Linked DNA regions of Notamacropus eugenii. The protein of the gene in region 1 interacts with the protein of each later gene in a biochemical or structural test. Links are inferred from orthologs where the notes say so. Each region holds a gene or a part of one and is shown in the gene's direction. Other genes may lie near its edges. The genes, in order: MYO18A and GOLPH3.

Evidence for each region.
Region 2: the proteins of MYO18A (region 1) and GOLPH3 form a complex in vitro, tested with the Homo sapiens proteins (2 studies listed by IntAct). The link is inferred for Notamacropus eugenii from reciprocal best matches to the Homo sapiens genes MYO18A and GOLPH3.

Annotation. Positions count from the first base shown.
Region 1 is NC_092873.1:36,662,147-36,678,256, reverse strand, and holds the start of MYO18A (unconventional myosin-XVIIIa), read left to right. Parts: upstream 1-8,256; 5' UTR 8,257-8,472; intron 8,473-16,110.
Region 2 is NC_092875.1:429,090,211-429,105,964, forward strand, and holds the start of GOLPH3 (Golgi phosphoprotein 3), read left to right. Parts: upstream 1-8,814; 5' UTR 8,815-8,962; coding exon 8,963-9,190; intron 9,191-15,754. UniProt on the Homo sapiens protein: Phosphatidylinositol-4-phosphate-binding protein that links Golgi membranes to the cytoskeleton and may participate in the tensile force required for vesicle budding from the Golgi.

The DNA of each region.
Region 1 (16,110 bases):
AGGGTTTTATAATGCTCCCAGATAGCTTTCTGCATATTTCTCCTCCTGTCTAACAGCTTGTTCTTGGTCCCAGATGGTTGACGTGTGGGCTCTGATGAGCTGGGGGACAGCATGAGCCAAAGGGACCAAGAACCAGAGCCAGGGCAATAACAGCTGGATATTATAGGATCCTCAAATTTAGAACAGAAAGGGATTATTTATTTATTTACTTATTTCTTAAGTAACCAAACCTTCCCTCTACCAATTCAGGTCAACAACTATAGTTTATAATCTTAAGAATTGCTTGGGAGCACACAGAAGCCAAATGACTTGGCCAGGGTCACACAAACAGGTCTTCCTAACTCTGAGTCTGGTTCTGGATCCAATCCACCAGGCTGCCTTTCACTGTTTGTGATAGGCACCTCCTTAATAAAGTCTTGCTTCATTTAACTGTGTCCTCCTTCCCCTCTGGTCCTCTTGAGGAGCCTCTTGGATGCCTAAGTTAGTACAGATGAAAGGCCTCAGTGGAAAAGCTCAAGATCCTCAGTACAAACCCCCACAAGGAACTTCTCGAAGGAGTTAATGATCAGTAAGTAAATAATGCATGACTGCAAATGTCAGCTCAGTCCTCTGTCTCCGTGTCCTTTCCTGCTCTTCCAGGATCTGTTCAGTTACTAAAAATTCAAGGAGTTTGACCAAGAAAGGGGAGGAGTCTTATTTGGGGTAGTAACTTGTGCTTGAAGAATGAATATGATGAAATAATTTCACATCCCCCTTTCACCTTTCCTCTTCCTGACTTTCCACCCTTCCTGCATCTTTAAACACTCTCAGGGTGAGGTCGAAAGTACTGTACTGTATTACTGCTCTGCTAAAAGACCTTCAATGTCTCCCAGGGCCCATGAGACAGAGCAAACTCTCTAGCTTGACATTCAAGGCCTTCTACAATCTAGCCTTGTTACTACTTCACTACATAAATCTTTCACTACAGTTTGTTAGCAGTTTGACAGTGGTCAGATAAATTTACTCATAGTAGCTAGCAATTTAAGGCTGGCAAATCTCTTTACTTATGCTGTTTTGGAACAAGCCTGGGAAATAGAGGCTGTTACGATGATCCTCATTTTGCAGATGAGGAAAATGAGACTTGCCTAGAGTCATATAGCTAGCAAATGTCTGAGGCCAGGTGTGAATGCTGGGCTTTCTGATTCCACACTCTATGTACTGTTGTGTGTTTGTCCTTCATTGCCGAAGAAGACCATGCCATCAGAGAAATAATGATGTGACTTGCACTTGACTTTGTTTTGAGTGAGGGAGGGCTGTGCAGGTCACCAGCCTCACTTCTCCTCCAGAGGCATCTGAATCCAGTGACCAGATATTCATCAGGATGACTGCAGATGACCCAGGATGAGGCAATTGGGGTTAAGTGACTTGCCCAAGGTCACACAGCTAGTGAGTGTCAAATGTCTGAGGTGAGATTTGAACTCAGGTCCTCCTGACTCCTGCACTGGTGCTATGTCCAGTGCACCACCTAGCTGCCAGAGTCAGAGTGCTGATTATTTTATGGAGGATGGTTTTTACTACTTACTACAGCTACTATTACCACCATTACCACTACTACTGCCACTACCCCTACCCCTACCACCACCATTGCTACTACTATTTATATTAACACTACTACCACTACTACCATCACCACTACCACTACTAGTATTAAAATTAATACTTCTACCACAGCACCATTGTTATTAATACTAATACTAACACTAGTAATTATTGGTAGTATTTAATAATTAATTAATACTAATTAAGTAATTAATACTAATTACCACCACCAATAATATTACCATTATTACTATTATTAATACTAGTACTACCACTGCCACCACTAGTACTATTAATTCTAATACCACTACCACTATTAGTACTTCAGATAATACTAATGTTAACCATGCTTGATTCCTTACTCTCTCATCCATCCTATCCTTACCCAATCCTAATCCAAGTCTTATCTCATCCACCTTTGCAACATCTCTCATCACTCCTTTCCCACAAGCTACCACCCTAATTCAAGCCCTCATTACCTCTCACTTGGACAGTAAGAGCTTCCTACATGGCCTCCCAGGTTCCAATCTCTCCCTGAGTCCAATCCATCTTCCACACAGCAACCAAAACAATATTCTAAAATCTAAACTACCACCACTATTACCACTACTAGTACTATAATTAATACTAATGCTACTACCACCACTATCTCTGGGGCTGGAACTAACCTCAGAGATCATGTAGTTCAATGGTCTCATTTTCTACGAGGGCCAAGAGGAGCCATGCCCAAAGTCACAGTCAGTAAGGGTCAAAGGTTGGGTTTGGACACAGACCTATATCCACTGTGCCATTTATTTACTGACTCATTCCACTGTGAGCCAGGCTTTCTACTTGGTGCTGGGAATAATGCAAAGACAAAATGAAAAAGACCTTGCTCTTAAGGTCCTTGAACTCTCTGGATGGCAAATAACATTCACCTGAATAGGTAACTATGAAAGATAAGCCAAATACTTCCTTACAGAAGGCAAGGGCGGGAGGAGCCTAGGAGATCCGGAAAGGCTGGTGGAAGAGGTTGTCCTTGATCTGAGCTTGGAAGGAAGTCACAGATGAAAAGAATTGGGAAGTCAGGAGGGAATGCTTTACTCCAGGTGTGAGACAGACTGCAAAAACCCTGGAAGGGAAATGTTGGGTCCACAGCATTGAGTATATGAAAGAGAGTGGTAAGTCTGGCAACTGGAGGCATGCTGGGAAGGGTTTTTAATGTATGCCAAATAGAAAAGTTTGTATTTTACACTAGACAGAGCTGGGGGTCGCTGGAGCTTCTGAAGGAGGTAACTATCATGGTCACATCCCCAATTTTGAATATCACTTTGGCAGCTGTGTGGAAGATGGATTGGAGTCAAGGAGAGGTTGGAGCCTGGGAGGCCATGTAGGAGGCTCTTATTGTCCAAGTGAGAGGTGATGAGGACCTGAATTAGGGTGGTAGCATGTGGGAGCGGGGTGATGTGAGATGTTGCAAAGGTAGATGAGACAAGACTTGGCTACTCATTGGACAGGTTGGGTCAGAGAGGAAACAAGCATGATTCTGAGATTGCCCATCTGAACAAGCGGAGGGATGGTGGTGTTCTTCATAGAAGTATGGATGCTGAGATCAAAGGAGATTTGGCAGTGGTGGAAAGAGAATGATTCTGTTTAGTATATGGCAAGTATAAGACAAGTACAGGGCATCCAAGAGGATCACAGATTTAGAGATGGAAAGGATGTCAAAGTCATGAGGTCAATCCTCTACCCCCGTTTTCCAGATGAGGAAACAAAGACCCAGAGAAATTAAATGATTTGACCAAGGTCACATAGGCAGTAAACAGCAGAACATAGGATTTGAATCCAGGAACTTAGACTCCAAATACAGTACATTTTTCATTATACCATGCTGATTCTTGGGAAAGGAGGTAAGAATGAAGAGACAAAGTTTGTATATTCATACATCAACATCTATATCTAGGTCCATATTTATCTAGACAGATATGGATCTATAGATATTATATATTATATACACAGATGATGGAAAGATAGTTGGATTAAATAGATGATAGATGAATAGCTAGATAGTTGGAGACAATATATGGTGGATAGACAGTAGGATAGATGGATGGGTAGATAGGTGGATGAATAGATGATATATAGTGGATAGATAGTTGGATAGATGGATGGGTGGATGGATAAATAGTTGGATAGACATACAGATAGGTAGGTATACAAGTAGGTGGGTAGATCTGAAAATCATCTGCATAGAGATGAAAGTTGAACAAATAGGAGTTGCTGAGATCACATAGAGAGAGAATATAGAGAGAGGGGAGAAGAGGGTCCAGGTCAGAGTCCTGGGCTTACCCATGCAAAGGTGGTGGGCCATCAATCATAATCGAACAAAAGGGACTGAGAAAGAGCGGTCAGAATAGGTAGAGGAGAACCACGGGGGAGCAAGATCACAAACACCCAGGGAGGAGAGCATATCCAGGAGAAGAGGGTGCCTAACAGTATCAAATGCTGTAGAGAAGTTGGAAAGAATGAGGTCTGGATGAAATACCACCTCATACGTATCAGACTGGCTAACATGACAAAACAGGAAGATGGTAGATGTTGGAGAGGATGTGGGAGAGTTGGAACACTAATTCATTGTTGATAGAGCTGTGAGCTGATCCAACCATTCTGGAGAACAATTTGGAACTATGCCCAAAGGGCTACAAAAATGTGCATACCCTTTGTCCCAGCAATACTGCTTCTAGGACTGTATCCCCAAGAGATCATAAAAATGGGAAAGGGTCCTACATATACAAAAATATTTATAGCAGCTCTCTTTGTGGTGGATAAAAACTGGAAATCAAGGGGATGCCCATCAATAGAGGAGTGGCTAAATAAATTGTAGTATATGAATATAATGGAATACTACTGTAACTACTGAAACGATGAGCAGGAAGACTTCAGAGAAGCCTGGAAAGACTTATATGAACTGATGCTGAGTGAAAGGAGCAGAACCAGGAGAACTTTGTACACAGCAACAACCACAATGTTCAAGGAATTTTTCTGGTAGACTTAGTACTTCATTGCAATGCAAGGACTTAAAAAATTCTCAATGATCTCCCTTAAAGCAAAATGCCTTCCACATCCAAAGAAAGAACTATGGAATTCGATTGAAGAATGAAGCGAATAATTTTCTTTTGTATTATGTTTTGTTTTATGATTTCTCCCATTCATTTTAATTCTTCTATGCAACATGACTAATGTGAAAATGTATTCAATAGGAATGTATGTGTAGAACCTATATAAAATTGTATGCCATCTCAGGGAGGGAGTGGGGAAGTAGGGGGGAAGGAGGGGGAGGGAGGGGAAAAATATCTAAGATATATGGAAGTGATTGTATAACACAGAAAAAAAAAGAATGAGGTCTGAGAAAAACCCAGCAAATTCGTCAAATAAGATATCATTGGTGAACTCATGTAGATCAATTTCAGCTGAGTTGACAGCCAGGTTTGTTTTTTTCTTTAGAGGGGCTCCAAAGTTAGTGGGAATAGAGAAAATAAAGGCAGTGAGTAGACATTGGCTTTCCTAGGTTACTTAACCACTCCATGCCTCAGTTTCCTTATCTGTCAAATGGGTGTGGGGTCTGGACTAGATAATCATGAATACCCATTCCAGCAGTGTGGACATTGATCTTTTTTATTTGGGCATTGACAGAGCTAGTGAGGAATATTAACCCTCCAGTTTCTCAAGGGCAGCAACTAGATTTTTCTATCCTCAGATCTGGCATACAGCAGGGGCTTAATAAATCCTCAATGAATTGAGATTAACCAGTTAAAAGGCCTGAACCAAGACCAGTTTAGAAGCCATCCTTTGTTTTCTAATATCATCTTCAGGGGTTCTAGAGGACCCTCAAATGGGTCCTTGGGCTCAGGTAAGATGGGGCTTTGAGGAAAGTGCATGCTGCCCTCTAAATAGCCAATCTGTGGCTAAAAGAAGTAAACAAATCAGGAAGCCTTTATTAAGCACCTAGGATATACTGGACACTCTGTTAAGCACTGAGAATACTAAGACAAAACCTAAACTGTCCCTGACCTCATGGAGCTTATATTCTAATAGGGGAGGGGAAATGGGGAGGGAAAACAATACATCCACAAATTAAACAAACATACATATATATGTATATAGGTAAAAGTATAATATATAATGTAAATATAGAATATACATAAAATATGAAATACAGGGTGATCCAAAAACAACTGCATGAATACTTTTGGGCTATCATATACACACACTAAAACTTGGGGGGACGTGGCACTGGAGCTTGTGCAATCCTAAAAGTTGGAGGTGAGGAGAGAGTTCATTCCAGGCATGGGGACAGATTGTGCAAAGGAATGGTGGCAGATGGTATGTTATGAAGAACATGGCTAGCAGGCAAATTTGGCTGGAATGAGCATGGAGGATGGTAATGTGTAATCAGCCTGGAAAGCTGGGCTGGACACAGGCTGTGAAGGGCTTTAAGAGGTAAACAACAGGATTTACATTTTATCCTGGATGGAACTGAGTCATTGGAGTTTCTTGAGCAGGGAAGTGACATGATCAAACCTGTGCTTTAAGAATATCAGTTTGGCAGCTGAATGGAAGACTGAGTGGGGAGAGGCAATGAGAAAGTGAACTATGGTGGTCACTGTGTGAGTGGAGAGAAGCGGGAGATGCCAGAGGTGTTGAAGTGGTAGAGACAAGAGTCAAGATGGTGACTGGTTATGAGAGACAGAGAAGAGTAAAGAGTCAATGATTGAGGTGGGGAACCTGAGTGACTGGAAGGATGATGATGCCTTTGACAGAAATATAAAAGTTAGGAGCAAAGTGGTTTTGAAAGAAAGATAATGAATCCTGTTTTGGACTTTCTGGATTTAAGATACCTATGTGACATTCAATTGGAAATATCCAGTAGGTGTCTAGGTGATAAGCAATGCATACCTAGGGATCAGGGGAGAGACAAGGACTAATTACAGAGATCTGGGAGGCACTTACAAAAAGGTAAGAATCTAATTCATGGATGCTCACACACACACACACACATATATACAAAGACAGAGACAGATAGGATATGAGGAAAGAGGGAGAAGGAAAAAGAGAGGGAGAGAGAGAGAGGGAAGGAGAGGGAAAGGACAGAGCCTTGGGATGCACTCAGGAGGTGGGACATGGGTGATGATCCAGCAAAAGAGAGAGGTGTCTGGATAGGAAGGAGGAAAATCAAGAGAGAACTGGGCTACAACAACCCAGAGAGGACAGAGTAACAGGAGAGAATGATCAAAGGTGTGAAATACTGAAGCAAAATCAAGAAGGATGAAGCTTGAGAAAAAGGTCTTCGACTGGGTGATTAAAGAGATCTTGGTAACTTTGTAACAAGCAGTTTCAGTCCAGTGATAAAAATGAGGACGGAAGCCATATAGCAAGAGATGAAGAAGTGAGAAGTGCAGAGTGTAGCCAGCTTTTTTCTAGTGCGGCAGTGAAAGAAAAGAGAGGTAAAAAGTGAGAGCTTAAGGGGATATTAGCATCACGTGAAAGATGAGGAAAGACGGGCATGCTTGTAGGCGGCGGAGGAGACGGTAGATGTGGAGAAACTAAAGATTATGGAAAGGGGATGATTAAGGAAGGGGGGGAGGGTCTGCCAGAGAGGCAGGAAAGATTAGCAGAACTAAGGGAGGGGTTGGCCTCGCTCATCAGAGACAGGAGTATAGGAGACAATGGCAAGACAGGAGGGAACTCAGGGCAAATGACCTAAATGCATATCCGTTAAGCTTTTTTTTTTTGGTATGTTATTCAATTACCAAAACAAACCAAAAAAAAAAAAAAAAAGAGGCAGAAGGCTCCCCCCACCCCTCCCCGTTCTCTTTTCACTACTACTCTCTGATCTGTCGGGATGGGGCTCGTCCAAGCCTGGAAAAACCCCTGGTCCAGCTCCAAGGGGTGCTATCCAACCCCGGCCTGTAGCACCCTTTCATCTCGCGGTAGCTCCCAGGTTAGTTTTCTTCTGGGCACTAAGGGAAACGGCATCAAGGTATGTCTTCAGCCCTGTAGATGCTTTGGGGGAGTGGGCTTCCTTCCCCCTCCTCTCTAAGTCGATACACACAAAGAAAGGCCTGACCCACTCCCAATCCTCTCTCCTAGCAAGATCAGGAGGGCTTTTCTCTGCTGGTCTCCTTGTACAGGGAGCTTCACCGAAAGGGGTCACGGTGGCACGAAACAGACACCTTTCCTTCTGTGCCCTCGGGGCCCATGCCCATTTCAGGCAGCGCCAGCACGAATCCTGTGCCTGTCTGCCCCGGGCAATAACGAAATGCCCAGCGGTCCCCTTTGGGCAGGGGCAGCGCGGCCCTGGGTCCTGTCGTCTCGGCGGCGGCCAGCAGGGTCCCGGTGCTCGTACGGCCGAGAGGAGCCCGAGGCCGGCCGGGGTGTTTATCCCGGGCGCGACCAGCAGGGCGCTCCCTCCTCCGCGCTGGGCTGGGCTGGGCAGGGCTAGGCTAGGATGGGCAGGGCTGGCTGGCTGGGCGGCGGGGCTGCGCTTCGCTGCGCTGCGCGGGCCTGGCCTGAGCAGGGCTGAACTGGCCCGGCTGCGCTGCGCTGCGCTGGGCTGTGCGGGGCCGGGCTCGGGTGCCAGGGCTGGGCTGGGCTGGGCAGGGCTGGGCTGGGCTGGGCTGGGCTGGGCTGGGCTCGGGCGGGCTGGGGGCGGCGCCTCGCGGCTCGGGGGCTCGGCTGGGCTCGCTCGGAGCGCCTCTGCTGGCCTCTGCTGGGGTCTGCTGCGTGCGCTGCAGCCGGGACTGGGAGCCGGCGCTGGAGCTGGGCCGGGCCGGGGCCGGGCCCGAGCCCTAGCCGGTGCATGCCGCGTCCCTGCGTCTCCTGCCTGGCCGCTCGTCCGGCGGGCTCCGGCGGCCGGTGAGTGCGGGCCTGGCCCGGGGCGGGAGGGGAGCCGGAGAACCTGAGAGCCGGAGCCGGGGGTGGCCCGGGTGGCGGACGGGCTCCTCCTCCTTCTCCTCCTCCTCCTTCTTCCCCTCCTTCCTCTCCTCCTCCTCCTCCTCCTCTCCTCCTTCCCCCCCTCCCGGGAAGCCGCGGCGGCCCCCGGGCTCCGGCTTCTTCCCCTGCCCTTCTCTGGCGCTGGGAGTGCACGAGAAGACGCCGGCGCGTCCTTCCCCGGGCCCCTGGCGCCGGGCCCGGGCATGGACTGGGCTGCAGACGCCCTCGGACCCGAAGGGTGCAGAGGAGAGGCAGGCGCTGTCCTGCAGCGGCGGGGGGCAGACGGCCAGGGCCGGGCGCCCAGCCCCCTTCCTCCTCCTGGGCGGGGGGTGCCCTTTATTTCGGAGGGAGCTCTGGGGGTGTGCATTGTACTGTATGAATGGTCCGTGCGTGGGAGTAGGGTGGCGGTGAGGTCGCCCCCTCCCCTCCCTGGCCCCTAGTGAGTCTGGGTGGGGGGTACATGGGACTTAGGAGTAGGGGGCTGCACTGCCTTAGGCCCAGGCTCTCCTGACAGCCTTAAGGGGAGGGGGAAAGCAAATGAGATTGGAGTCCATTATCCTCTCTCTCGGCCCTCACCCTTTCACTGCCAAAACAGTGTAGCCCTCCCCCCACCCCCCAGCAGCTGCCAGACAGCTGGCAAAACAATGGAGTAAAGGCGACCCTGGTTCCTGATGCCCACTGCCCCCCTTCCTCCGCTTCCCACTACAGGCAAAGATGGCTGGGGGAATCCTTGGGCCTTGGGGGATTCTGAATCCTCAGCCTGTTTCCCTATTTACCTTTTCAAAGAGGATAGAGAGGAGGCAGAGCAAGAAAGGGAAGCAGGCTAGCCTGGGGCAGGGGTGAGAGACCGGCCCCACTAACCTGTCATGCCAGTTAGTTGGGTGACAGGCGTGGGGGTTATCTGCTCCTCCCGGGGTTCCCTGGGGGTGGTTCCTTGCCATTCTAAGCTAGGCAAGGAGTGGTCATGTTTTTGGGCAGAAGGAGATACAGCACACACACGTTTGGCTTTGTCGTAGTGGGTTGGGAAGAAGGGGGCGGGCACACATGGGCACATAGATCTCCCAGACACATGTGCTCTTTACAGATTATTTAAGAACAGCAGGAGCTCAAAGGAGAGAGTGCACTGGGGCTGATGATGCTCAGTGCTTTGTTTTTGCTGGCTAGCTCAGCTGTCCCAGAACCCTGACAGGCTTCCCTTGGCTTGGGGCATTTCTGTGGGGTCCCGTCTGGCCAGGGCCTTTCTGCCAATCTGTTCTTTGAGGAATGAGAATTGGTCTTTTCTTTGGGCAGGATCACATTATAGTATAGTTTTAGAGCTGAAAGAGACCTCATGAACCAATTAATTTTACCAATGAGACTGAAACCCAGACAGGTTAAATGACTTGTCCAAGGTCATACAGCACTTGTGAACCAAACCCTCGAGGTCCACTCTTTCTTCTGGGCTAAGCAGTGAACAGACCTGTTTCCATGTCAATGGGGCTTATCCTGCTGCTGCCACCATTTTTGTTGGTTTGGGGGCCAGTTTCTATTTGGGGATGTTGCAAATGCCCATGCTGGCACTTGTCGGGAGCCTGGGGCTTCTGGCCAGCTCTTGGCTGGCTCCTCCATTGGTCAAGGCTTCCTTCTTGATGTTTGCCTCTTGAGCTTCCTCTCTGGCTCCTTTGTTCACGATCTCAGGCTTTCCAGGAAATGGCCTCCCTTTCAGGTCATTACCAGTTAAATATAGCACTGGGTGGAGGTTTGCCCATCTATTGATGTCTTCATGTTGGGTGAAAGGAGAGACTCTGGGGATGGAGAAGGAGGGTGCCTTCTCTATAGGTAGAGGCCCCGAGATCAAGGGAAGAAGGTTTAATGGGGCATCAGTGCCAGGAGTGGTATGGGCGTTCTTGTGGATAAACTTCCTGGTGGAAGAACTGAACTTTGAACTGTGGGTGGCCTGATCCCCTGGCTGGCCTACCTTCCTGCCCTACAGTTTGTTTACTGGGCCCATCACCAACACCCAGTCTAGGGCAGAGGGCCTGGATGTCCCTGTATGAAAGATTGACACCGTCTTCCCAAGACCTAATATTTGTCCTGGCACATAGTAGATGCTTCATAAATGCTTGCTGATTGATTGTGGGGAGCAAGAAAGGGTCAGATAGGACATCGATGGCATGATGAATTGTCCTTTGAAGGAAGCTGGAGACTTTACGCTTGGATTCCTCAGTCAATCAGTAACCACTTCTTCAGTGCCTACTATGTGCCAGGTACTACTAAGTGCTAGGAATCCAAAGAAAGGCAGTGCCATCCCTTGTTTCTTCCCCTTGCAAGTCCTGCTCCCTGACCCCTACCCTCTCTTCTTCAGGATCTCAGTTATGGTCTTCTTGGGGTATCTGTTTCTCTCTGTTGCCTCTGATTGCCTCTTCTTGCCCAAACTAGTAGCCCATGTTACTGGTCTTTGTCCAACGGCTCTGAGGCTGGGACAGGCCAGTCCCACAGAAGTCCCACAGGTCCTTCCAGGGGAGTTTTGGGTGGAGCGGAGCAGCCAGGAGGCTGGGGCCTGGCCTAAAGAGAGAAACCACCCTGCTGAGGGGTGGAGTACTTACTTTATTTGCCTAGTCTGGAAGACTAAATGCTTCCTTGCTGTGCTGGGTCACAGACTCAGAGGGCAATGCTGGGGTGGGCTTTTTGGTGTGCGTGTGGTTCCTTTCCTGCCTTGTGTAGTAGAGGGCTGTCTGCAGCCAGACACTGTCCATCTGGAGCAGGCCAAGCTGAGCAGCAGGAACGACCACAGGCCTCCAACTGATCTGCTTTCCTGACCTGCTGGCCAGATTCCAAACTGCTGGCAGTTGGGTCCTGGGGCCCCAGGGCTCCCCAGATTCTTGGGGTACCTTGGCCCCCCCCAGGGGAGGAAGTAATCACCTGAGCGTGGTGAGTAAGGAGAAGGGAATTTATCTGATTGGCCCCAGCTGATGGGTCTAGGCAGCAGAGCTGCTCAAATCACTTGTTCCTGGCTTGTCTACAGGGAGGGTCCGAGACAGGGGGCTTGCTTGCTCTCAGTCCCAGATTGGTCGTGGGCCTCATGTTCCTTCGGATCTGAATTTACATCCCACCCTCCTGTTTCTAGACAGTCTGAGGAGAAAGCTTAGGAACATTTCTTAGGGGGGTAGGACATCACTGGAGGCTGACAGGCTGGAGAGGGGATCAGAGAGGGCCTAGAGAGGAGTGGGAGCCCCCCTTCTCCTCCACAGCTACCATCTTTTTGACCAGTTCTTTGTCTCGAGGTAGGAATTGTGCGGCCTGTAAATTATCTCTGTTCCCCTGACATTTCAAACAACCTCTACTCACTCAGTGGTTTAAGCTGCGGTGCTGAAGGTTCTTTTTCTCTGCTGGGGATTTTGCAGACTTTAGCAACGGGTTTTTTATGAGATACCTGGTGTTCAGAGTTTGATCAGGGTCACCCAGCGAATTGAAATAGGATGAGGCAGACCTGGCATTCCCTTGTTCCAGGCCTGGGCTGGGAGGACCTGGGTTCAGATCCTGCCTCTGATGCTGCTTATATCTGTGTGACCTTGGACAAGTTGTTTGATTTCCCAAGGCCTTAGTTTCTTCATCTGTAAAATGAGAGGATGAGACTAGGTGGCCCATCCAGCTCCATGGATTTGGAGTCAGAGGACCCGTATTCAAATCTTTCCTCCACTACTTACTTTTTGTCAAACGAAAAGGTTGGTCTAGATGAGCTCCAAGGCCCTTTCCAGGTCTGGGGGCTATGCCTTGGACCAATGTCTGGGCTTTGTGGGGAGGTGCTGAATGTATCATGGTTAATAATCAAAGGGAATTCTTTTCAAGAAAGATGCTTTAAGCCTTTGAAAACAGGTACTGGTAGAGTTGAACCTTCTGGAGGTCATAGGTCATGGAACTGGACAGAAAGCTTGAGATAATTGAGTCCAGAAAGATTGTTAGAGACCAGAAGACTTGGGTTTGACTCTTGTGCTGGCTACATATAGATGTGTGACCTTGGGCAAATGACTGTTCCTGACTGTTCCTGACTGGCTCGGGGAGATGCCTCCTACAAAATGAGGAGGTGGGAAAAGATGGCTGGTCTTGCCCACAATCTAGTATCTTCCCCCAACTCCTCCTTTTACAGAGGAGGAAACCGAGGCACAGGGATGGGAACTGAGTTGTTCAAAATCACTGGATTAAGGACAGAGCTGTCATTTGAAAATTTCCATTAGGAGTCTCCTGCAGGGTTTTTTTCCCAAGATCAGGAGTATTTGGAGAAAGAAGAGATATCAAGGAAGCCAAACAGAGGCAGGTTAACCAGTGGGGAAACAGGGTCTTTGGCTACCTTTGCTGGGCCAATGAGATTCTTGCATTCTTTGTGGGGAGCTGTGGCATGGCTGGGGCTGTTGTCTGGCCAGTCCCTTCCCTTTCTGAGTGGCAATAAATGGCCAGGGAGGGGCTGCTGTGACTCTGGGCGCCCCACGTGGGGGGGGGGGGCAGGGAAAGTTAGCTAGCGTGTTGCCGGCTGATGTCACGCCAGACATGTGTAGTTGGTTTGGAATACACCTGGAGTCAGATAAGCACCCTGTGACTGAGTGGTGAGTCAGACTGTTGCGAGCTCAGCAGAACAGGCCCAGGTGGGCCCCTCCTCACCTTATTCCCTGGGCTGGGCTAGGCTGGGCTGGGCCGCTTCTAGCCAGCTCACCAGCTCATGTGTTGAGATTAACCTCTGTCTGCAGTTTGGAGAAGTGGTCACTGTGGGGGACAGCTGGGAGATAAAAATCCCCTGAGCTGGAGGAAATGGCCTCTCTGACAGGTCAGAGGCCAGGGAAGGAAGGCCCATCATCTGAGAGCAAAGCATTTCCTTTGTTTTTATTTATGAGTCAGGCCTGGACAGGGATGGAGAAGGGGAGGCCTGGAGAGTAGTCCTTGCCTTGACCCATTCCTCATAGTAGATTCCAGGTACTCCCTGGCCTGGGGGCTGATGACTTTTTCTATAAACTTCTGTCCCTAGGATTTCTGACACCCCAACAGGAAGGTGACCCATTTAAATCTGTCCTCATTTAAAGTCATGTAGCACAACCAGGCAGCCTGATACAGGGATGATTTGGAATTTGGGAGTGGGGGGGCGGTGGATAAAGATTGAACATGGCCTGGTTGCTCAGCCTCTCAGAGTACTCAAAGAGCTCTGACTCTAGTCAGAGCATCTGAGTTCAAATCCTGCCAGTGATGCTCACTACCTGGTCACAAACGGCAATCATTTTACCTCTCTGGGCCTCTGGTTCCCTATCCGTAAAAAGAGGAAGTCCCTTCCAGCTCAAGACCTGAGATCTTTATTCCTATGACTGATAAATTGGGGACACAATTCTGACATGCCCTCCCAGAAGAGATGGGTATAGGGGAAACAACTGGAGAATATTCCACAAATGCGATTGTAGAATTACCTGTCCTCTTCTCCTATATTTTGGTGGGGTTCAGGTAGAAACAGTCTTAAGATGAAGCATTTTCTTGATAATGTTTTCCTATTTAAAATTCTATGGCCTTTTATAGATGAAGAGGACCATTGGGTCATGAGCTTTTTCATTGAGGGCTCACAGAAAGCATCATGGGAATGACACCATTGCCAGTGAGATGATGGAGCAAATGGCTTCCTCAGCCTTCTCCCCATCCAAGTGGGATCTCTCCTCTCTGTGAGCGCTCTGTGTTCCTCTTTCTTTCTCGCCTTCTTACCATATTCTCTTGTCATGGAAACTAACTAACTTGACTCTTGGGAGCCCATGGCACGGCTTCAATGCTAAGTTAATATAGTTGTTGGCTTGGCATGTTGAAAAAAGGGGATGAGGATTGAAATTCCAGGATTCCTCGGGTCCTTTCTAGCTTCTGTAGGCTGGGATTCTGTGATTCATTAAGTATTTAGAGGCTGGGAGAGATGGAAGGAGGTCTTACAGATCAAAGTAGTATAACAAAGAAGCAAGAGCTCCCATTCTTTGAGCCAGAGTGGAAAAGGAATTCGCAGGCAGGCCCATTCCCTCCCACCCCCAGCCCACAGTGGGGTCCCTTCATGGGGGACAAAGGAATCAATCATTTGTAGCATCAAGAGGGGGCTGGCCAGGAAGGCCACACCTCGTATGAGGATGAGCAGAGACCATGGGCTAAGATGAGGGAGGTGGAATACTTGACTAATTTCAAATACCTGAAGGGCTGTTCTGTGAAGAGGGGGATTGTACTTATTCTGGCCAAAGAGAGCCAGTCCAGGAATGATGGGTGGAATCTGCAAAATGGGCATTTTAGGCCTGAGGTCAGGAGAGACGACTCCTGTTCTAGTGGTCCAGAAGTGGAATGAAGTTGCCTTAAGAGTCAGTGGGGTCCCCTCTTACTGGAGGTCTTCGAGAGAAGGTCTGAGCAACATCTGGTGGGTTGTGGTGAAGATGCTTTTTGGGTACGGGTGAGTCTGTGTGGCCACTAAGGTCCCCACCAAGTCTGAGATGTTAAGAGTCAGTATTATAGATGAATGACTGAAAACACATCTAGTAAGGACCTACTGTGTACCAGGCACTGTGCTAAGAAGCTAGGTGGTACAGTAGCTAGAGTCAGGAAGACCTGAGTTCAGATCTAGCCTCAGACACTTCCTAACTATGTGACCCTGGGCAAGTTTTTCTTAAAGTTCTTTCTGCCTCAGTTTCCTCAACTATAAAATGGGGACGATCAAGTAGCAACAGCAGCAGCAACACTAATGATAATGATGATAATAATATTTTTAAAGTGCTTAATTAGTGCAGTTCTCAGAACATAGTAGGTACTATATAAATGCTTGTTTTTTCCTCTTTCCCTTTTCCCTTTCCTCTCCTGCAGACATCAGGGTTACAAACACAAAAGTAAACTCCTCAAGGAGTTTACATTCTAATCAGGGTAACACATGTTGGGTAGTGACCTTGGAAGGGAGTTTGTTCTGAAAGACAGTGTAACTGAGTAGAGAAAGCACTCAGCAGGAACTAGATTCTGCTTTTAACACTAGCTGTATGACCTTGGGCAAGTCCTTTTATCTCTCAACCTTTCCACATCCTAGGCATCTCCCTCAAATTGACCTCCTAAAGCTGTAGAGGGGTGGTGGTCTGCATTGGTGGTGGAGAGAGCTTCTACTCGGACATTTCCAGTGCCAGTAAAATCAGAGGCTTTGCTCTTGTTTGAACATCAACCAGCGTAATCCCAAAGACTAAACCAGGGAGGTGGCTGAGGAACAGATATGGGTGTGGATGAGGTCTTAAAACATCCTGGAAAAGAGGTGTTGGCCCTGGGTTGTGGAAACAGAATTAGAATCTCCCAGCTCTCCCAGGGCCTGGCGGCTGGCACGAGGGTGGTGCCTTTGGTGACAGATGAGTGAGTAAGTGCCCTCTTTCTGTCCAAAGGAAATTAAGAAACATGGAATTTTAGAGCTAGAAAAGTCCTGAGAGATCATCTTGTCCACTTCCCCAACCCCCTACCCACTCCCATCCCCATTTCACAGAAAAAGAAATTGAGGCAGAGGGATTCTCCCAAGATTGTGCAGCCAGAGATATTGTTGCCAGGGCTAGAGTCCAG
Region 2 (15,754 bases), on another chromosome or scaffold:
GTGAACGACAGGCTCGTGACAATGTGACTGCCATACAGGAAAATAACACGCTACTCTCATCAGTGGGCATGACCCCACCATGATGAACCTTGATGAGGTCGAAGAAAAATTTTGTGGAGACCCGGAGACCCTCATCATCAATGTGCTGAAAGAGGATAAGCTTATCATTCTAGATGACTTGAAGCCAAAAAAGGCATAGACCATCAAACATATCAGGGAGTCTTTGGGAGGAATGGAGTTGGATAGTCACTTACTACTGAAGACTCATGACCATCTCATCACCAACACTGTCTTCTGTTTACCTAAAAGCAACAAAATGTCATGGGTACATCCTAGGAGCATTTAATAGCCTATATCATTGTGAGAAGAGAGAGGCAGGATCTGAGATTGACAAAGGTGCTATGTGGTGTAGAGTACTCAATTTATCCCCTCCTAGCTAACCATTCCCATTCAGCAATAGCAGAGACCCTAGGCAAGATGGGCATCCAGAGACCCAGCATCAACAAATTAAAGCACTTCAAGTGTGAACAGTTTGTAACTGATCTGGACAGAATGGTGAGTCAGCACACAGTTAGTCACAGTGGGGCAGAAAAGGAGTGGGCAGCTTTCAGAGAGTGAGTGTCCAGCACTGCATTTGTTCACCTGGGCCAGAACACTTGAAAAACATCAAGACTGGCTTGATGAAAATAATGGGGGAATTCAGAAACTGCTAAATGAAAAAGAACTCTACAGGATTTATCAGTAAGATGGTTTGTCCCTCTCTAAAAAGGCAACATTTAACTGTAACAAAAGTAAAGTGCAAGCAAAGTTTAGAGAGATGTAGGATTCTTGGTTCAGTAAAAAGGCAGATGAAATTCAGTTTTACACTGACAGCAACAATCCGAAGTGACCTATGAAGCCCTGAAGACATTTACGGGTCAGAGACCTATGGTGCATCTCAACTTCTCAGTGTTGATAAAGCCACACTAATCAATGATGAGGACATGATCCTGGAGAGATGGGCTAAAAACACTTCTATGGTGTTCAATGCTAAAACCACTGAGTCAATCCCTTGCTAGCTAAACTTCCAACTGAAGAAGAGGTTTTGAATGCCATTAGGCTCCTCTGATGTGGCAAAATGCCTGCTGGGGGTCCACTGCTCATACAGAAGTGGATTGAATTCTTCTGGGTTTTATGACGAGGAGGTTATCCTCCAGGAGATCAAGGATGCCTCTGCTGTGCATGTCTATAAAGGAAAAGGAAACTGGTTGTCCTGTGAAAATCTCTTAGTTAATACTGGCAAGATTCTTGCCAGAGTCCTTCTTAATCAGCTGATCCTTTACCTGGAAGATGGCCATCTACCTGAGAGCCAGTGTGGCTTCAGAAAGGGCCAAGGAACAGTCAACATGGTGTTTGCTGCCTGACTATTCCAGGAGAAATGCCAGGAGCAGAACAGAAGTCTGTACACAACATTCATTGACCTGATTAAAGTCTTTGATACTGTCAGTTGTGAGGGGTTGTGGAGGATCATGGTGAAGTTTGGTTGCCTGGAGAAGTTCATCAATATTCTATGCCAGTTCCATGTCAGCATGCTTGTATATGTTCTGGATAAAAGAGGATGCTCTCACACTTTCTCTGTCACCAGTGGAATGAAGCAGGGCTATGTGTTTGCTCCCAAGTTTTTTAGCATCATGTTTTTCAGGATGCTGTCAGACACCTTCAACAAGGATGAAAATGGTATCAAGGTCAGCTGCTGCACTGACAGTAAATTATTTACATGAAAAGGATATAAGCCAAGATTAAAGTGAAGGAAGAGTTGGTTCATGACTTTTTGTTCACAGGTGATTATGTGCTCGCCACAGCCTCTGAGACTGATATACAACAGAATATGGATTGAATCTCTGCCACTGTGCTAATTTTGACCTGACAACCAACACTAAGAAAAGAGAGATCCTCCGCCATCCAGCACCACACCATCCATATGTGAAATCATCAGTTACAGCAAATGGAGAAATTCTGAATGTTGTGGATAAGTTCACTTACACTGGCAGTACGCTTTCCAAGAATATATACATATATGATGAGGTTGATGCACCCATAGCCAGAACTAGCTCAAAGTGTGGGAGTAAAGGGGTATTAGGCTATCCACTAAACTGAAGGTGTACAGAGCCACTGTGCTGACCTCATTATTGCATGCCTCTGTAACCTGGACAATATACCAGTACCATGTCACAAAATTGAACTGCTTCCCTCTGAATTGTATTAGGAAGATTCTAAAGGTCACCGGGCAAGATAAGGTTTCAGACACTGAGGTCTTTTGTTGAGTTGAACTGCCAAGCATTCAAACTCTACTGCAGAGTGCAACTCTGATAGGATGACTACGTAGCCTGAACATCAAACATATGTTTACCTAAAAGACTATTTTATGAAAAACTCGAACAAGGCAGATGGTCACACAGACATCATGAGATGTGATACAAGGACACTTTCAAGATCTCTTTGAAGAACTTTAGTGTCAGTTTAAGACATAGGAGACAGTGGCACAAGACTGCCCATTATGACATGCCTTCATCAAAGGTGTGTGCTCTGTGAGCAAAGCAGAATTGTAGTAGCATCAAGAGGATGTACAAATCTACAGGCATCTCCATCCTAAATATTCAGACTATTTGTGCCTGCCCTGTGGGAGAGCCTTCCGAGTTCATGTTAGTCTGATCAGCCACATTAAGTCACACTGTACCTTGACCCCAACATCATGATGTCATTAGTGCCCTTCAAGTATGAAGGACAAACATTTATTCTCTAGCAGTCTCTCCATAAGAATGTAAGCATAATAATATTTATTTATTAATTATTTATTAATATTAAAATACAATATTTATATTTGTAACCTAGCTTAGCACATAGTAGGTACTTAATATTTTTTTGATTCATTGATTGATCGATCAAGGGCAATTAGATGTGCTATTATCTCCTTATTTTGTGTATTGATTTCCTGTTAGCCATTTTGGTTCTGTCATTTCTAGTATAAGGGACATTGTCATTAGCACAGAAAACAAGAAAAGTTTTTATCTAAGGACTTAGAATCAGAAAGGCCTCTGTTCAGATCCTGCCTCAGATACTTGTTAGCTGAGTGACACTGTGACAGTGAGAAAGTCTCAGGTTCTTAATTTGTAAAATAGAAATACTAATAGCATCTATTTCACAACAGGGCTTTTGTAAGGCTCAAAAGAGAGAGGTGTGAAGCATTTTGCAAACCTTAAAACGCTATACAAATAAATATGAATTACTGTTATTTCCTGTATAACATCCACCCCAGTGATCAGGGTTGTCTATCTCACAGGAAGAAAGCTAGTATTTAAAAAAATGAGATTGTGTCACAGAACAGCTTGAAATCATAAAGGCTACACAGTTTTCCCTTTACAATCCTGCTCACTCCCATGATTACATTATTACATTGTGAGCTTAGCTCATTGTCCTGTCACGTTAGGGTAGGCTGTACATTCAAAAGGGCTATAACTCCTAGCAAACTATAGGGAACTTAAAATTTAATTAACCATATAGGTATTTAAAGTATACAAATACATTTAATGAAATTAAGTAAGAATTCAATGTGGTGTCATGAAAGCACTTGATTAGGGAGTCAGGCAATTTGGGTTCTAGTATTAGCTCTGCCATTAATTAGCTGTGTGACCTTGGGCACGTCTCTGAATCACAGTTTTCTCATTAGTCAAGCTAGGAAGTCAGACTACATCTACCAAGGTTCCTTTAAGCTCTAAAATAGTATGAATTTAAATATGAGGCATGTACCATACCTTAATGGTACAATGGATTTGTGATCTATCAATGTGGATATCATAATTGATCTTTTTGATTCTGTCCTATTCCTGTCCATGTCCTCTCATAGATTCTCAAGAATGTTTATTGAACGTTTTAGAAGTTTTCCTTCCCCCCCACCCCGCTCTGTATATGTCTGTGTGTGTGTATGTATGGTTATGTATATATCAAGTAAGTAGATTGGTCATAGATGGAATAAGGGATTATAGATCAAAACACTTATTTTCAAAGAACTAACATCAATTTTATCTCCTACCCATTCACACCCCCTTCTCACTGAAAAGTAATAATAAAAAGAAAAACTATGAATGTGAACAGTCAAAACAAATTTCTGTATTCTCCAAATCCAAAAAAAAATGTTTCATTCTGCACTGGAAAACCATCCTTTCAGTCAAGATGCAGGAAGGTAGTATGCTTTATCATATGTTATCAGGAGTCTTGGTTGAACCCTGCATTGATAACAATTATTAAATCTTTCAAAGTTGCTTGTTTTACAAAGTTGTTATTAGGTAAGCCATTCTCCTGGTGTAACTCATTTCATTCTGAATTAATTCATACAAGTCTTTCCATGTTTTTCTGTAACTGCTGCTTTCAGAAATGCTTATGGCACAACAGTATTTCATTATATTTGTATATTATATATTTCTATTTCTTCAGCCACTCTCCAATTTATAGGCATCCCCTTAGTCTTCAACTCTATACTACTACAAAAAGAATCAGTACAAATATTTTTGTACATACATATCCTTTTCCTTTGCTTTCCCTTTGGGAGCGTAGACCTAGTAGTGGTGTGTTCGTCCTTTGTTGCTGAAGAAGACCATGGCATCAGAGAAATGATGATATGACTTGCACTTGACTTTGTTTTGAGTGAGGGAGGGCTGTGCAGGTCACCAGCCTCATTTCTCCTGCAGAGCCATCTGAATCCAGCGACCAGATATTCATCAGGATGGATGGAGATGACCCAGGATGAGGCAGTTGGGGTTAAGTGACTTGCCCAAGGTCACACAGCTAGTGAGTGTCAAGTGTCTGAGGTGAGATATGAACCTTATTGCTGGGTCAAAAGAGTATGAACAGTTTAGTAATATTTTGGGTATAGTTACAAATTATTTTCCAGAATGGCTGGATCAGTTCATACTTTCATCAGCAGTATGTTAACCTTCCAGTTTTTCCCTTGAAGACCTTCCAATAGTTGTCATTTTCCTTTTTTTGGTCAACTTTTGTCAGTCTGATAGATATAGAACTGGATTTTTCTTTTTCTCTAACTACTAGAAAATAATTAAAAAAGGATTTATGTAATTTACTTTTAAGATAATATGGTTGGGGGTGCAGAGCCACAATGGCAGATTAGAAAGACACACATATGCAGGCTCTCCCCACACAGCCCATAAAATACCTATAGAGAGGGACTCTCAACAAATTTTAAAGCAGCAGAAGTAGAGAACAACAGAGTGGAGGAGATTTCCAGCCCAGAGTGACCTGAAAGGCCCATGGGAAACATCTGTTGCACCAGACACCAAGCAGAGCCTAGCCCAGCCTTGGCCACGCAGTGCGGGGTGGCTCTGGGAGGAGGACACCTCGGGGGTGGAATCTTCAGTCACAGCAGCAGCGGGTCCGCAGATCCCTCAACCCACAGGTGCCCAAAGTCAGTGATAGGGTTTTTTCAGCTGGCAAGGAAGGGAGAAGGGCCTTCCTATAGCTCCCGCCTTAGGCAGCAGCTGCAAAGGCCACATTGGGCAGGTGGCAGCAGTTCCCACAGCAGCCCCTACAGCAGCCCGTATCCATTGTTGGATCACAAAAACCCTGGGGGCACTGAGGAGCTGATTCTTACCTTAGCCCTGTGCAGAGGCCCTGAGGGAGCTGATCTTTATATCACACTGAATGGCAGCGGAACTGGAGGCCAGGTGGCTGTGGAGAGGAAACTGCTAAGATTCTGGGCACAAAAATCTATTTCATCTCCCAGACCAGTGTACATGCTTGATTGTGCCACCTTGGAGGAACTGAGATCTTACAGATTTCTAGAGTATACCCTACTCTTGACAAAGAACCCAAAAGTCAAGTAACTGGTTGGGAAAGTGCCCAAAAAAGGGAAAAAAAATAAGACTATACAAGGTTATTTTCTTGGTGAACAGATATCTCCTCCCATCCTTTCTGATGAGGAAGAACAATGCTTACCATCAGGGAAAGACATAGAAGTCAAGACTTCTGTATCCCAAACATCCAAAATAAATATTCAGTGGTCTCAGGCCATGGAAGATCTCAAAAAGGATTTTGAAAATCAAGTAAGAGAGGTGGAGGAAAAACTGGGAAGAGAAATGAGAGAAATGCTAGAAAAGCATGAAAAGCTGGTCAACACCTTGCTAAAGGAGACCCCCAAAAATGCTGAAGAAAATAACACCTTGAAAAATAGGCTAACTCAATTGGCAAAAGAGGCTCAAAAAGCCAATGAGGAGAAGAATGCTTTCAAAAGCAGAATTAGCCAAATGGAAAAGGAGGTCCAAAAGCTCACTGAAGAAAATAGTTCTTTAAAAATTAGAATGGAACAGATGGAAGCTAATGACTTTATGAGAAACCAAGAAATCACAAAACAAAACCAAAAGAATGAAAAAATGGAAGATAATGTGAAATATCTCATTGGAAAAGCAACTGACCTGGAAAACAGATCCAGGAGAGATAATTTAAAAATTATGGGACTACCTGAAAGCCATGATCAAAAAAAGAGCCTAGACATCATCTTTCATGAAATTATCAAGGAAAACTGCCCTGATATTCTAGAACCAGGGGGAAAAATAAATATTGAAAGAATCCACTGATCACCTCCTGAAGGAGATCCAAAAAGAGAAACTCCTAGGAACATTGTGGCCAAATTCCAGAGTTCCCAGGTCAAGGAGAAAATATTGCAAGCAGCTAAAAAGAAACAATTCAAGTATTGTGGAAATACAATCAGGATAACACAAGATCTAGCAGCTTCAACATTAAGGGATCAAAGGGCATGGAATATGATATTCCAGAGGTCAAAGGCACTAGGACTAAAACCAAGAATCACCTACCCAGCAAAACTGAGTATAATAAATATTTCAGGGGAAAAAAAATGTTCTTTCAATGAAATAAAGGACTTTCAGGCATTCTTGATGAAAAGACCAGAGCTGAAAGGAAAATTTGACTTTCAAACACAAGAAGCAAGAGAAGCATGAAAAGGTAAACAGCAAAGAGAAGTCATAAGGGACTTACTAAAGTTGAACTATTTACATTTCTACATGGAAAGACAATATTTGTAATTCTTGAAACTTTTTTCAGTATCTGGGTAGTTGGTGGGATTACACACACACACACACACACACACACACACACACACACAAAGCACAGGGTGAATTGAATAGGATGGGATCATATCTTAAAATAATGAAATTAAGGGGTGAGAGAGAAATATATTGGGAGGAGAAAGGGAGAAATGGAATGGAGCAAATTATCTCTCATAAAAGAGGCAAGTAAAAGACTTTTCAGTGGAGAGAAAAAGGGGGGAGGTGAGAGAAAAAACATGAAGCTTACTCTCATCACATTTGACTCAAGGAAGGAATAAAATGCACACTCATTTTGATATGAAAACCTATCTTACAATATAGGAAGGTAGGGGAGAAGGGGATAAGCAGGGTGGGGGGGATGATGGAAGGGAGGGCAATGAGAGAAGGGAGCAATTAGAAGTCAACACCCTTGGGGAGGGACAAGGTCAAAAGAGAGAATAGAAGAAATGGGGGGCAGGATAGGATGGAGGGAAATATAGTTAGTCTTACACAGCACAACTGTTAAGAAAGTCATTTGCAAAACTTCACAGATATGGCCTATATTGAATTGTTTGCCTTCTCAAAGGGGATGGGTGGGGAGGAAGGGAGGAAGAGAAGTTGGAACTCAAGAGTTTTAGGAACAACTGTTGAGTATTGTTCTTGCATACAACTAGGAAATAAGAAATACAGGCAATGGGGTATAGAAATTTATCTTGCTCTACGGGACAAGAGAGAAGATGGGGATAAGATTTGCACAGCCACATTTCACAAGCTTGTAAACTCTGGCAGAAGTTCTTGCACTTATTTAGACCAGCAGACCACACATCCTCCTGGACTTTCTGGAAATCTTAGCAGGGCCATGACTTGAGTGGACAAATCACAAGATCCGAGGTCTAGACGTGGCAGAGACCTCTGCGGCCACCTCGTCCACCTGCTTCATATTGTAGATTGGGAAACTGACCCGGGGGAAGGTAACTGACTTTCCCAGACTCCGCCTACTTTAAGTTTCAGAGGCGTCTTTGAAGTGGACTCCAGCCACTCTCTTTCCCCGCCCCGCCCTCCCAGCAACTGTCCCCCTTCCCCCTCCCCCCTCTCAGCGGCTCTCCCCCTTCCCCCTCCCCCCTCTCAGCGGCTCTCCCCCGCCCCGCCCTTCCTCCCAGCGCCCCGCCCCCGCCCCGCCCTCCCAACCCCTCTCTCCCTCCCCCCTCCTCTTTCCCGCCCGCCGCCCTCCCAGCGCCTCTCCTAGAGAGTGCCGCGGGGGAGGGGCGCAGGCTGGATTCATTTCCGCGCGGTTCTCGGAAAGCCCGGGTCACTTTTCCAGCGCATGCCCAAAGCGGGGGAGCTGGGCGGGAGATCGTAGGAGGACCCCGGAGGCGGTCACGAGATGGGGGAGGTGGCTTCCAGGGCTAGGAAGCGGGGGCGGGGACAGAGCGGGCCGACCCCCGCCCGCCCCCTCCCAGGGCTCTCCCCGCCCCTCCGTCCCCACCCCCACCCCCGTCCTTTTTCGCCTCTTCCGGTCCCTCCCCCCAGCCCCGGCGGACTCTGCCACATCCTCCGGTGACATCAGCCCGGGCCGCCATATTGGGGGAAAGTCGCGGCCGCCGCTTCCACCTCGGCGCCCCCGTCACCGCCGCCGCCCCCGCGAGCAGGAGCCCCTTCCCTGCCCGCGCACCGGCCTCTTCCCGGCCGCCGAGCGAGCCGCCCCAGGCCCATCCTCCATGACTCCCGCGGGCGCCCGCGCAGCCGGACGTCGCCCCAGCGCCTGAAGCGGAGCCCGTGCGGGCCGTCGCGGGCTAGCGGGCAGCGAAGCCGAGGCGTCCCGCCGCGCAGCCCCGCCGCTGCCCCCGACCTCCGCGGCCCCGGCCGCAGCCATGACCTCGCTGACCCAGCGCAGCTCGGGCCTGGTGCAGCGCCGCACCGAGGCCTCGCGCAGCGCCGCCGACAAGGAGCGGGCGGCCGGCGGCGGAGGGGGCGGCGGCGGCGACGACGACGAGCAGAGCCGCCGGGATGAGCAGGACGACGACGACAAGGGCGACTCCAAGGAAACCCGGCTGACCCTGATGGAGGAGGTGCTGCTGCTGGGCCTGAAGGACCGAGAGGTACCGGCCCCCATGCCGGCGCGGAGGGCGGGCGGCCCGGCCCTGGGGAGGGGGCTGCCGCTGAGCCGGCCTCCAGACATATGGCTTAGCGTTTCTTCCCATTCCCTTAAGTCCACAGCGCTTCCTTAGCCCGGAGTCCTGCTTAGTAATGCCCGCCTGTCCACCATCCCTCCGCGCCTTCCCCGTAGCCCTTCCGCGGTGCTCGTGGTAAATCGAGCTTGCCCTTGAAATTGGGGTGATCCACTTAGGCAGCCCAGCCGCCCCCCAACTCCTAGGGCTTAAGTCGGCCGCAGGTCCTGGGAAGAGGAAGAAACCGTCTGACCCCAGTTAGAGAAGTTAGGGAGATCTCAAAGGTCAGGGGAAAGCTCTAGACGCCAGACACCAAGAACCATTTTAGTGGCAGTTTGAAAGTATCAATGCCTTGCACTTCCCCCCCCAACCCAGGTCTGTATTTGTCCAGTCGGCTGAAGCTCATCCAGGAAGTTTTCTGTACTTTTGCGTATAAGCCTGCCTGGTTGATTTATTTTTTGTCAATGGATGGGAAGAGATAAATAGGGAAGAATCTAGATTTTTTTAACCACCAAACTTTTGCTGGGTATTATTTTCTTAAAGGAGAGTTTATTGTGGGAAGCACCATTTGGTCTTGTAGTAAAATAGTTTGTAAAGTTAAAAGACTTTTAAAAATCCGTGCTATATTAAAAAGAAATGGTTTTAGAGTGTTGCAATTTTTCTTACTATGAATTGAACTTTTTAAAAGAATTTAGTTGTATTTCTGGTGACATTTTGGTCAAGACAGGAGGTAAACAGACATAAATTATCTCCCTGTCAGGGCAGTGCTACATCTCAATCTAGTGTATATGTATTTTAACTCAACATAGTAACCACAGGCCTGCGGTATTGAGGAGCAAACTCAAAAGAAGAATCAGTAAATTTTATTTTTTGCGTACAATTATTCAAAATTCATGAACATGGGCATAGAATTTCTGTACTGAGGCTTTAGTTTTTCTATCCTAATTTAACCTTTCTTTATCCCAGATAGGTAATATTCTGTGTTAACTTTTTGGTTTTCATTAACCAATGTTGCCATTCTTTTAGAATACTGGTGTAGGGAACAAAAAACTTAAAAGCATTAGGTCTAATGTGTTGCAGTGCCTCCTACTCTCTTGCTTAGCCTTAGTTCTATGAATCAGTGACTGTGTGTCTTTGACCAAGTTTAACTTGGTGTATTTTCAGTTTCCAAGTATAGATGGGTATGTTATGCCTGTTCTTTATCTGTTTCATAAATATCAAAGAATAAATGCAGTATTGTACAAGAGTTGTTTTTAACCAAAAAGCATTTATTAAACTTCTGCTGTAAGCCAAGCGCTGGGAATACTGAGTAATTCAAAAAATTTGTCCTTAAGGATCTTGAATTCTAATAGCCGAGGAATCCTGGAAAAGATGGAAGGGAAGACTAGTAGCTGGGGGTGTGGAGGGTGAAGAAGTGGGGTTGAGGAAGAGTGGAGACCAAAGATAGACTTTCTGGGGGAAGTGGCATTCAAATTGAGTCTTGAAAGAAGCCAGGAATGTTAAGGCAGAGGAGGGAGAACACATGGAGACTGTGGCTCCAGATAGAATGGCCACTGTTAGCAGCAGCAAGTAGTGGATTAGTATTGGCTGGTTCCTAAAGTATATAAGGAGAATGGAAAGGTAGAAGGGGTCAGGTTTCGATGAGCTTTAAGTAGCAAACAGGATTCTGAAATTGATCGTGTGGGTAAGAAGTACCCATTGGACTTGATTGAGTAGGGGGTGACATGATCATCACTAGACTTCAGTAAAATTACTTTGGCAGCCACTTTGGAGTGGATGGATTGAAATGGGAAGAGACTTCAGGCAGGAATTCCAATTAATTAGGAGGCTCTTGCACTAGTCCAAGTGAGAGGTGATGAAGGCCTGAATTAGGGTTGTAACTGTGAGTGGAGAGAAAGATGGACAAAATTTAGCAACTGATTGGATACGTGCGGTGAATTAGAGTAAGGAATTTAGGATGACATTGAGATTGTGAAGCTGGGCATCAGGGAGGATTCCTTGACAGCAGTAGGGAAATTCACAAGGTGGCAGGATTTACAGGGAATGGGTTCTATTTTGGAGGTGATTATAGGTTATTCAGTTTGAGCTATTCTGGAGACAGTTGGTGACAAAAGACTGGAGTTCCGGAGAGCAACTAGGGTTAGATGTATTGATCTGGGAATCAGCCATCTGCATGAGGATGATAATTGAACTCTTGGTAGCTGATGAGATCTCCAGGTGATTTTGTGTAGAGGTAAGAGAGAGGAAACCTTTGAAGGAAGCCTTATGGACTGACCACAGATAGTGGGATTGTGGTGGTTGAAGATCTAGCAAAGGAAACAAGGAATTATTTGGAACTCTTTAGTAGAAAGCCAGTGTTTTATAATGTTATGGAAATATTATATTTATTTGTTTGAAATTCAATTTATTTTTTTTTAAATTTTATTATTATTTTTTTAAACTATTTTTTAATGTTTAACAATCACTGCCATACAATTGAGATTTTTATCCCCCCCACACCTACCCCCCACTACCCCCCTCCCTCCCATGACTGCATACAGTTCTGTATAGGTTCTACATATACTTTCCTATTGAGTACATTTTCACTATAGTCATGCTATGTAGTCGGACTAAAATAAATGGAAGAAATCATATAACAAATCAAAACATGATACACAAAAACATACACATACACAAACATGATCTGCTACATTCTGCGAATGACTTCCATATTTCTTTCTCTGAGTGTGGAAGGCATTTTGCCTTAGAGAACCACCATTGGGATTTTAATTTTTTTTTTTATTTTTTTTTATTTTTATTTTTTAATGTTTAACAATCACTGCCATACAATTGAGATTTTATCCCCCCCACCTGCCCCCCACTACCCCCCTCCCTCCCCACGACTGCATACAATTCTGTATAAATTCTACATATACTTTCCTATTGAGTATATTTTCACTATAGTCATGCTATGTAGTCAGACTAAGATAAATGAAAGAAATCGTATAACAAATCAGAACATGATACACAAACACATACACATACACAAACATGATCTGCTACATTATGTGAGTGACTTCCATATTTCTCTCTCTGAGTGTGGAAGGCATTTTGCCTTGAGATCCACCATTGGGATTTTTTTTTTTTTTTGTAAGAAGTTCTTGTGTTATTACAAAAATCTAAGTCTACCAGAAAAAACTCTCACACACTGTGGTCGTTGCTGTGCATAAAGTTCTCTTGGTTCTGCTCCTTTCACTCAGCATCAGGTCATATAAGTCCTTCCAGGCCTCTCTGAAGTCTTCTTGTTCATCATTTCTTATGGCACAATAGTACTCCATTACATTCATATACCATAATTTATTCAGCCATTCCCCAGTTGATGGACATTCCCTTGACTTCCAGTTTTTGGCAACTACAAAGAGTGCTGCTATAAATATTTTTGTACATGTGGGACCCTTTCCCATTTTTATGGTCTCTTGGGGATACAGTCCTAGTAGCGATATTGCTGGGTCAAAGGGTATGCACATTTTTGTAGCCCTTTGGGCATAGTTCCAAATTGCTCTCCAGAATGGTTGGATGCGCTCGCAGCTCCACCAACAATGAATTAGTGTTCCAACTCTCCCACATCCTCTCCAGCATTTATCATTTTCTTGTTCACCAATCTTATAGGTGTGATGTGGTACCTCAGAGTTGTTTTGATTTGCATCTCTCTAATCAACAGTGATTTAGAGCATTTTTTCATATGATTATAGATAGCTTTAATTTCTTCCTCTGAAAATTGCCTGTTCATATCCTTTGACCATTTATCAATTGGGGAATGACTTGTATGATTATACATTTGAGTCAGTTCTCTATATATTCTAGAAATGAGGCCTTTATCCCCGAGCTTAGCTGTAAAAATTCTTTCTGAAATTCAATTTAAAACAACTTTTAGTTTTGAGGTGACCAGTGAGAAATTGCATTGGTCTGTTTTCATTTTGTGAAGGCTTAAATTCTTTGGGTCTTTCTCTGTATTCTTATTTTTCCCATGAAGATAATTTATCCCTTAGTCTTTCATTTGATTTTGTTTAATTGCTATTTTGAAATTTAGACAGTTTAATATTTTTTAGTGGTAGAATCAGGCTTTAAGTAATTTGAACTATTTCCTTCATTTTAAGAGTTGCAGTGCTTTCAGTGTGATTGATATGATCAGAGTAATTGGATTTAGAACTCACAGGTACCCAAAAGATCAGCAGTTGTAATCCTCTAATTTCGTATATAAGAAACTGAATCAAGGAGAGATTCTCCGACTTGCCTGAGATCATACAAGCAGTAATTTACACCCAGGGCTCCTAGTCTCTTAAATCCAGTATCTTTCCATCATGCTACAATTGCTCAGCTGTGACTATCCCAGATACCTTGCTGATCTCAACGCTAGTCATAATTGGAGAATTGCTTTGAGAGGCTGTAATTTTGTAGAGGGTTAATATAGTTGATTTTGATGATCAATCTTTTCCCCCATAGTAGAAAAGTTACTAGGTTCATAGATTTCCATAAATATGATATACACTACTTGGGTCTCTGCATGACATTTAACAATCTCACAAATGGAAGTGTGTAGATTGAATGATAAGATAGTACTGTAAGGTGGGTTCAGAATTGGTTGGATGACTAGAACCAGAGATTATTGAGAAACGTCATGGCTTAGTAGAAAGAACTCTGATTGAAGAACAGAGTACCTTAACAACTGGCCATATAAAATGAAAAGTACATGGCAATTAATGGTTAGGGATAGCCAATGTAGGAGACTCAGAGGGGCTTACTGAAAAGTTGATGTTTTACATGTTGAAATTCATGTATTTTAATTAAATAGGTATAAAGCAAGCTTAACTGTACGCATTGGTGTATTTAGCATTTGCTAAGTGCCTACTATGTACTAGGTACTGTGCTAGCTAAGCTAAACTATTTCTTAAGAAAAGAAGAGTGATCAGTGGTCTTTCTGTGAAGAAACCTGATATTGCTTCCTGGTTCCAAAACTAATCGCAGTTATTTACAAATGTTTGTGTAGAAAGGATACAGTGATTCAACACTTAGCACTGTTAAATTAGCTCCTTTCTTTTCCATACTGGAAAGTCTGGTCAGCCAGGCAAAGTGTGTCCTTGGGACAGCCACCAAATCCTTGGATAGGCTTTTTATGCCACAGTTGACCAGGAAGCCACTCCCTCAAAGTCTGAGGCCACCAGGAAGCCATTTCTCTGGCTTCGGTTGAGGCCCTGTCCAATTAAGTCTTGGGAGTCAGCTTTTTTTCTCTTTTATGTAAAGAATTAGCCCAGAGGTATTAAACACCTGGTCTGCATTTCTGAGTGCAGCCCAAACCAGATTAACATGGAATGGAAATATTTAACCAAGTGCATTTTTAAAAAATTGGTGTAACATTACATTTTAAAACTAAGTCAGTATGCAGCCCACAGGGATCCTTACGTACAGATTAGTGGTCCCACAAATTTTATTAAAATTTGATACCCCTGAATTTATGGAGGAGGGGTTAGAGATTGATCCTATATCAAGGGTTCTTATTATCTTTCTCTTCAGCAGGGTGAGAGCCCACCTCCTTGAGTTCCTGACATGCCAAGATGAGAGTAGATGGGATGAGTAGGACCTGTTCTAGTTGTTGCTGTGGGTTCCTAGTAGTATTTAGATTACGACATAGGATCGTAGATTTAGACCTGGAAGAGAACATATAGACCTTGGATTCCATTTTACAGATAATGAAAATTGAGGTACAGAGAGGTTAAATGACTTGCCCACAATCACTGTTCCAGTAAGTTTGAGTCTGGTTTTGAGTCCAGGTCTTCCTCATTCCTAGTACAGTATCCTATCCACTAGACTGGAACACTTTGCTGCCTCTGAATTGTAACTGCCTTAAGGCATTTATTACCTGGTTTTGCCCAAAGGGATGTGGTTGGGGGAATGTTGCAAAATAAGAATAGTTATGGTTGTGCTGGAGACAATTGACTCACAATAAAGGTCATCTGATTGCTAGGTCACACATCTCTTGGCAGGCTATAAATAATGCTGAATATGCCTGCATAGTTCTAACTCAAAAAGTATAACAGACCCTCCATATGGAAAGCTTAACAGAAACATTTATTCAGACACCAGAAAGCCAAATCCATCATAGTAACCAAGAAGCCAATAAACATAGCATTGCGGGGGACAAATCATAGTTTTCAGTAACTTGTGATGAATACTATTTAGTTCAGTTTAGTTTAGTTTTTGAAGTAAAAAGGTTGTTGGTTGTAGGGCAAAGTGGTGGTAGTTACACATGACTGGGCTTAGATGAGTTAGGAACTTGGTAGGAACTAACATAATTATCTCTGAAAATGCACAGAAATCTTGGGAAAAAGGAATGGGGCAACACCCAGTTTACCTGGTTGAAAATTCACCTGTGTTGTACCTTAGTCTTGAAATTGAGCATATTTATAATATAGTTAGCACGAGTGAAATTAGACCTAGTATTAATACTTTAATTGCAGA